2 linked regions of the Nothobranchius furzeri genome follow. The protein of the gene in region 2 binds, or shares a complex with, the protein of the main gene of each other region. Links are inferred from orthologs where the notes say so. Each region holds a gene or a part of one and is shown on either strand. Other genes may lie near its edges.

The links.
Region 1: sf3b5 (region 2) and dhx16 share a complex: the UniProt entries of both Homo sapiens proteins name them as parts of the minor spliceosome. The link is inferred for Nothobranchius furzeri from reciprocal best matches to the Homo sapiens genes SF3B5 and DHX16.

The regions. Positions count from the first base shown.
Region 1 is NC_091745.1:60,403,074-60,407,133, forward strand, and holds the start of dhx16 (pre-mRNA-splicing factor ATP-dependent RNA helicase DHX16), read left to right. Parts: upstream 1-1,246; 5' UTR 1,247-1,464; intron 1,465-2,846; 5' UTR 2,847-2,851; coding exon 2,852-3,049; intron 3,050-3,121; coding exon 3,122-3,360; intron 3,361-3,587; coding exon 3,588-3,768; intron 3,769-3,859; coding exon 3,860-3,916; intron 3,917-3,986; coding exon 3,987-4,060. UniProt on the Homo sapiens protein: Required for pre-mRNA splicing as a component of the spliceosome. Contributes to pre-mRNA splicing after spliceosome formation and prior to the first transesterification reaction.
Region 2 is NC_091752.1:24,290,256-24,294,387, forward strand, and holds sf3b5 (splicing factor 3B subunit 5), read left to right. Parts: upstream 1-1,416; 5' UTR 1,417-1,529; intron 1,530-3,058; 5' UTR 3,059-3,073; coding exon 3,074-3,334; 3' UTR 3,335-3,620; downstream 3,621-4,132. UniProt on the Homo sapiens protein: Component of the 17S U2 SnRNP complex of the spliceosome, a large ribonucleoprotein complex that removes introns from transcribed pre-mRNAs.

The DNA of each region.
Region 1 (4,060 bases), on a different chromosome or scaffold from region 2:
GTTCATCATTTGGTTATTTTGCAAAATGTCAGGATTATTCCAGATAGGTGTGCGTCTGCATGGTACTAGTGAAGACTCTGTCATTTTTAGATACTCCCACCATGCTGTCAGAGAGGTGCTGATACTAATACTTTTGAAGCCTTCGTGTTTTCTTATGCTTGAGCTAATAAATGGTAAGTCTGAAAGTTCTATCGTATTGCAAAGTATCTGTTCTATATCTAACCAGGACTCATCTAGTGGGTTATCTTGCAACCATCTTGGTATATATTGCAGCCTGTTGGCTAAGAAATAATAATAAAAGTTGGGTAAGTCCAGTCCTCCTCTGTCTTTGGTCTTCTGAAGTGTTTTAAAGCTAATTCGTGGAGGTTTATCCTGCCAAAGGAATTTAGTAATTGAGGAGTCCAGAGATTTAAACCAGTCAGCTGGTGGTTTGTTTGGGATCATCGAGAATAAGTAATTTATTCTGGGTAAGACCATCTTTTTAATTGTAGCAACCCTCCCCATGAGTGATATCGGTAAGGATTTCCATCTTGCAAGATCATCTTTCACTTTCTTTAAAAGTGGGATGTAGTTCAGTTTGGTTAGATCTGCCAGCTTGGGAGAGAAATTAATTCCCCGGTATGTAATATTCCCTGACTCCAATTGTGTATTAAGCAAATTGACAAAAGAGAAATTAATTGGTAGAACTATGGATTTTAACCAGTTTATAGAGTAATCTGAAACTCTTGAAAAAGAGTTTATCAGTTCTATTGAATGGGAGAGAGAGGATTGAGAATTCTGGAGAAAGAGTAAAACATCATCTGCATAAAGACTGATCTTATGTTCTATTTTCTTACACTCTCTATTCTGTTGTTTGATTCTTACAAGTCACAAGTAGTTTTATATTCCTTCATAAAAAGTCAGCAATAAATATTTATTTCCTGATTTTTCAACCACTTGCTAGAGCAAATTATCCCTGATCAGCTTGAATATGCTACATTTCTGCAGAAAATAAAAATGGAGATGTTGGAATATTTTACTTTACAATTTTCAGTATTAACTAATGTTAGCTTATGGTAACTTACACTAAAATATATCCTTAATAAATGAAAGATGAGTACGAGACAGATTTTATGACACGAAGTGGTTTAATGTTCTTGTTGTAGTTCTTCCTATGACCACCGGAAGGCAGTAAGCGCCATGACCTCCTCTACTTCACTCTGTTCTTCCGCTGTTTCCATGTGACGTATTTCCGTTTTTCCCATTGCGTGTTGCAAGCTAAGCTAATAAACGCAAAAATGTGTTGAATTTGTTGACAAATAGAGCCGTAAATACATTAATATCCATGGCTATGGGCTGCCGACTGTTTCCGTTAAGTGCTCTTACAGAAAACTCTTAGATAAATGACGACGTAACTCTCAGTTTTTTTACTTTCAGGCGGATATTTTCATCCCAATAACGTTGCATGAGCGATTTTAAAAAGCGGTAAGTGAATCTAGTGTTTTATTTGTGAGAAACCGTTTTTATAATAAAGTTTTTCATAACAAAAGTCTTTATGAAACCAAAATAACACAGTGGCTGCTCAAATGAAAGGGTCAACTCGACTACTGGATAAATTAGGGAAAGATTGACTGGATAATCAAAACAAAGTAAACGTTTCATAATAGCTTTACGTAAATGGAGTTCAGGTTGGACAAGTACAACTTTGATTTTATTCATTGATCCAGATGTAAGAAAAACTTCTAAACAATTATTTAATACAAGTTGGGAGATTCAAGCTTTCTCAAAAATATCCTAAAAGCTGATCTTCTTTAGAAATCAGCTATAGGTGGTGATCAGAAACACATTCAGCTGAAGCGCTGATAATAAAAAAGGACAACTGGACATTTTCCCCTGTGCATGAACTCACCATCACTAATTCACTCCAGCTATGATTTCCTAAACTTGCACGTTTTTGCCTCCAGAATCATAATTCTGAAGTTATTAAAATAAATTATTAAAATGTTTTAGATTTATCGCACAGTGAGGGCAGGTCAGAGCTGAACAAAAATCAGACTTGGGTATCGACCCCAAAAGCAGAATCAGTGTAAACGTTTATCACGAAAAGATAAAAAAGAAAACAAACCTTTAAAGCTAAAATCACCCATTTAAATGTGTCTTTGCCCTTGTCTAGCAAGTTTATACTGACTCAGACTTGATACTGATGCCACCACAAAAACACAGAAACTCACATTTTTATGCGTTACTCTTATTTCAAAGCTGGAATCTTTGCAATGTATTATTGTTAAATGTAAAATAAGATCAGACACATAAACAATAACATAAGAGCAGCCAGCTGCTTCATTCGCTAACATCAGAATTAACTAATCAACTGTGTTGGTGCTGAGGTTCAGAATCGTTATTAATATTGATTATTTTAGTAAATATTATAATTTCATATCAGCTTTGTTACAAGTAAATTTAGTCATTTTTAAAGTTTTACAGAATCTGAGATTTTATTTGGTTTTAAATCTTCTGTCCTTCCTTCTTTCTTTAAATCTGTTCTTGGTTTGATGTAGTTTGACAGATTTGACCTTTGCCCTTGATCGATGTTAGAAAAGATGTGATGATGGTTTGGGTCGTGATGAATTCCTATTTTTCTCTCTGGTCATCTTAAAATCACATCAGCACCTCTCATATGTTTTAGCATGCGGGTCATTGTGATCTAAACCAGGTGCTGCCATGAAGGGCAGAGAGGGTTCATAAGATCTACGTTCAAATTCTGTCATAAATAATAAAAGTCTGATTTATTTAGGTCATTTTTACTCACACTCTAAACATTTGCACCACTTCACCTGAATTAAAGCCACCTGCTCCTCCCTCGGCAGGCGCCATGGCAAATTTGGAGCAGTGGGTGAACGACCGGCTGCATGACATCCTGGGGTTGAGCGATCGATACGTCCCTCAGTTCATGATCGGCCTTGCTCGGAAAGCGTCAAGCTCTGAGGACTTTGTGAGTCGCCTGGAGCAGACGGGGACCATCGACATCGATCAGACTGTGACAGCGTTCGCGAAGGAGCTTTATGAAAAGGTTTTTATAAAATAGTGCTCGCGGAACCTCGTGTAGAGGCTCGTGTGCTGATCTTTCTCTGCTGTGTTCCAGATTCCCCGTCAGCAGGCTGTCGAGAAGCCGTCCAAGGCAATAGAGCGACAGGCTATCGAAATGGAGAGGAAGAATCGGACGTACACGTTGTTGGAGGACAGTGACAGCGAGAGCGACGAAGTGGCTGCAAGGGAAAAACAGAAAGGAAAGAAGAAAAGTAAAGAGAAAGACAGAGGAAACCAGAAAAGGAACATCAGACAGAAGAAAGACTCGTCGAGTGAAGATGAAACTCTTCAAAGGTTATTTATTCGTTTATTTAGGCTGAGCAAAAACAAAGATAGTCAAGGCAACAAGGCTGGACTGAAAACGGGAGAAAAATCAGCCAAAGAGTAAAGAAAACATTTAAAAAGGTCGAAGAGCAGCTGATCCAGAACCACAGAACATTCTTCATCTCTACGATGTTTTAAATGAGGATCCAAGCTCAGGAACATGAACCTTCATCCTGGTTTGTTGTTTCTGATTTCAGGGGCGATTCTTTCCAGGAGGACCGAACGTCTGTTAAAAGAGAAGATGATGAGGAAGAGGAGTGGGAGAAGGAGGAGAGGGTACGGCTGGAGGACATCAAGGAGAGAGACGCATTTGCTCAGAGGGTGAAAGAGAAGGACAAAGAAAAGACCCGAAACATCGCCGAGCGGACGGACAAGAAGGTGGGAGGAGGAGGATGGCAGCATCCCGACCCGTTGTTTTATTTGTCATCTTCATCCGGTGGAAAATTTTCCTGCTGTGTTTCTCCTGCAGGCTTACGAAGAAGCTCAGAAGCGTCTGAAGATGGCTGAAGATGGTCAGAAGAACATGGTTGGTGCTCGTGTCCCGATCTCCTCCAGCTGCCGAGTTCACGGTGACTGTGTGACTTTTCTGCTTGCAGCTGCCAGAGTTGAGGAAACAATCTCGTCGGGAATATTTGAAGAAGAGGGAGGCTGAGAAGCTGGAAGACCTGGA
Region 2 (4,132 bases):
TCACTATACTGAGAGACCATTTAAAGGCTCAGGAACCTTTACAGTTGTTTATATTTGCAATTATAATTTTGAGCTGATTGGGGTCTTGTTAAATATCACACAGTGACATTTTAATAGTCTTGATTAATGTAATGTTCCTGTTTGTAGTTCCTCCTGTTAAGTGCCCATCTGTTTCAATTATTCAGTTTGATAAAAAAAAAACATTTTGACATACATTTTATTATGTTCCAGTCATTAGTCATTTATATTTCAGTATTGTAGTAATTTATAGTAAATTAAGTAAGTTTAATCAAGAGGGGAACCCATTTTTCTTGCATTCTTTAGTGAAAAAAAAGGTAACAAAATGTTTATTTTTCTTGGTGATTAGTTACTTTTAGTTACTTTTTGGACAACGACGTGATCAGTAACTATACCTAATTACTTTTTAAAAGTAACTTTCCCAACACTGACCATTAGCATTAGCAACCCCACCACACAGCAGAAGCTCCTCCAGGCTTGTGCTATCTGTAGAGACAAAACATCCACGTTGGATAACAACAACGCGACTCTACCATAACGTGGTAGTTTGTTTGTCCCAGTGTCCCTGTGATATCTTGTGGCCTGTCCAGGGTGTACTTTGCTAATGACTGCTGGGGAAAGACTGCTCCCTTTGACCCTAGTGAGGAAAAGCAGTCAAGATCATAGGTGAGTAATTTTTAACAAATATTTCAAAACATTTCTGAACCCAAATCTAACCATATTTTCATATTTTTCTGTCCCAATCATGGTTGCCATTAGCAACAGCTGGTAGATGGAAAATTAGGGTCATAACTCTACAGGCAGCAAACATGCTCAATGCAGAACATCATCAAACACATTATCCACAGAAAAAATTTCATTATACCAGCCACAGGAGAGCCCAGTGCTAAGCAATTCTGAGCAATTTAGTCTCGATGTGGCAATTTGAAAAATTGTACTGTGATTATTTGTTTTAAGATAAATGTTTTAAAACAACATGAATACATCAGTTTTGATGAAAAGTTTATCTCACTGCACAGGTACTCTAATGATTGCTGCAGACACTTGCATATTTATATCCTTAGAAAAAGCCAATAAATACTGCAGTCTATTTATTTGGAAGAAGACCAAGTAGTACTATTTGTTTTTAGAAGCATAAGAAAAACAATGGACGTATTCCCTTGAATGGTGTGGAATGATGATAGAGGCTACACACGAATTTAAAACATAAAAAAGAAAAGATTGCAACATAGACACAACCTATTTTCAATTAACCTACAAATAAACCAAAGAAAATAATAACTGTATTTAATGTACCCAGATTTTCTAAAAAAAAAAAAAAAAAAAAACTTTCTTTGAGTGAGTAAGAAGTACACTTTGACCAATGGAGCGGAATCAGAACAGTACGACATTTGTTCCTACCCGGATCATTTCATAGGGTAACGCGCCGGCAGTGGTCGTTTGTCAGTGCCTGAACGACTCAGAATTAATTTACCTGTTTTGTTTTAGTTCTTGATCTCTGTACACATTACGTAAGTGTTTTGTTCTTTTAAAACCAATTGATGTGAAGCTGAAGCTATTATTTGCCCTCCAGGGGAGCCTAAATTTAGACTTTTATTACACGAAGACCGACTAGCTAAGCTAAGCTACTGTTAGCATAAAGAGTGGAAGATCAAACGTTGTCCAACAAAGAAAATGTGTAAATAAAGGGCAACGACCGAATATTTGGAATTGTATTTTGTTTGTTAATATGTCAATGTTGATCATTTGGATAAAACTCACATAAATAACGGCGATTAAGGATTCGAATGCAGTGGAAAAATACACTGCATGAACGAATTAGATAACTTTGCTAACATCGTTAGCCTTTCCAATATATTTGAAATGTTCGTTTGTATTTTGCTTTAAATAATAGTCTTTTTGGGATGTTTAATGTTGGAGTGGTAGTTTTTAAGCTTTAATTCTGTCTTTTTCCCTAGTTGTCACCATACATCCAGATTAAAGTAGTCACCCACACGTTGCGTTATCAGTACTTAGTCCTGGGACCTTCTAAGGTTTTGTTGTTGCGTTTGTGTTGTCTTTTCTTTTGCTAAATCAAAAGCGCATGCGATCTGCTGATTGTGTCAATAAATAGTATCAATACTGTTAAGAAGTAGCTTTTGCTGCTACGATTAGCTGCAAATACTCGTTTATTTTGTTTGTCTGACCCAAATTAAAAAGAGACTGAGCTGGAGGTTTTTTTTCTTCTTTCCACCATTGTTGGAAATCAATGTTAAAAAGTCTGAAACTTTTTAGCTGTTCTAAAAGTTAAAACATGTAGAAAAGCAGTAGTGATGCACCGATATGACATTTTTGGGCTGATACCGATATCTGATATTGAGCTCACTGTTATGGCTGATAACTGATATTTGCCGGTACAGATATGCTGACATTAAAGCTGAATTTACATTATGTACACGCAACACACACATTTATGGGTCTGAGATTATTTCATTCACTGTTCACATGACTAAACAATTACACATCACCCCCCTCACCCTCTGAAACAGGCGAACAAATGGAGACGAGATGGAAAAAATATCGGCCTGGTTTTATTTATCGAGCCGATATGTTAAAAATTGACCAACATCGGCCGATACAGATATTGATGCTGATATATTGTTCATCCCTAGAAAGCAGCATTTTAAAAAGCTTTACCTGCTCAGTATGTGCCTTATACAACATCATACAGGCTAATGTGTGTATGGAGTTCTGACACAATGTAGTAAAAACAAGTGATGCTTTTTGCATCCCAGCATGAATTACGTACAGCATGCACACATTATCTTTTTAAGAATAACAGTACATCTTCATCTGGACACTGATGAAACCCCAAGTTTATTTTAAAACTTAAAGGACTTCTTTCCCTGGTGAATCAAACAAGATTGACCTTTACAAACAACATTGTACAAGAACAACGTCTAATGAATCAGCCTAATATTCTAGAAAATGTAGAATTTTTTTATATAAATGATTTTAAAGAACATCACGGGTGATGTTTTTCTATCCTTTCCCCATCCAGAGTCTTTGAGTGAAAATGACGGACCGATACAACATCCACAGTCAGCTGGAACATCTTCAATCAAAGTACATCGGCACAGGACATGCTGATACCAGCAAGTGGGAATGGCTGGTCAACCAACATCGTGACTCATATTGCTCCTACATGGGACACTTTGACCTGCTAAACTACTTCTCCGTGGCTGAGAATGAGAGCAAGGCCCGCGTTCGCTTCAATTTGATGGAGAAGATGCTTCAGCCATGTGGGCCCCCAGCAGACAAGCCCGATGATGCTTAAATAACTCCAGAGTGAGCTTTTGTCCCTGGAAATTCTTTTTTCTACCATTAAATCCTGTTTGACCCTATCAAAAATAATTGGATCATCCATTTATAGTAGTTTTGTTTGCATATGGACAGCACTGAGGCAAAACAAATTATTTCAAGATCTCAATGTTTACAAGAACGGTAAATGTGTCTAAGTGATGCACAATTATCTGTGAAGAGATTGAAGAGATTGATGATTACAATGTGCCCATGATAAGTTTTGCTTATTCATTAAAATTTGACCTTTTTCTACAATCTTATTTATTTTACAGCCAGCTATTCATCTATTCTTTCACAACACTTTTATTTGTCATCATTTGGATTGAATGTGATTTGGGTTTATTTGAATAAACATTCATAGGTGGCAGGTAGCCTTTTGAAGCCTTTTACTCTGAAATGCTGGTGTTTTTCAGCTACACCCAATACTTTTCTGCAATATTAAGAAAAAAAAGAGAATTTAATGCAGATAATCTTTATTTTATTATAGTTGTAGCAAAATGCTTTTACTCAACTACAACAATAACTGATGCACTGTGGTTCAAATGCTGAAACTGCTTATTTGCAGTAGGAAATTTCACGGAAGAAAATTATCTGAAAAATCAGTGGGTGAAATTTAGAAAAGTCCACCAAAAGGTGGTTGAAGAAAAAAAATAACGGTGTTAAAAACAACAGAACACAGGTTTATGATGTTATTAAAAATTGCCAAAAGACTGCTTTCAAAACCAGCCGACCTGCTTTTTCAAGACAAAACTGGGAACTGCTGACACACAAA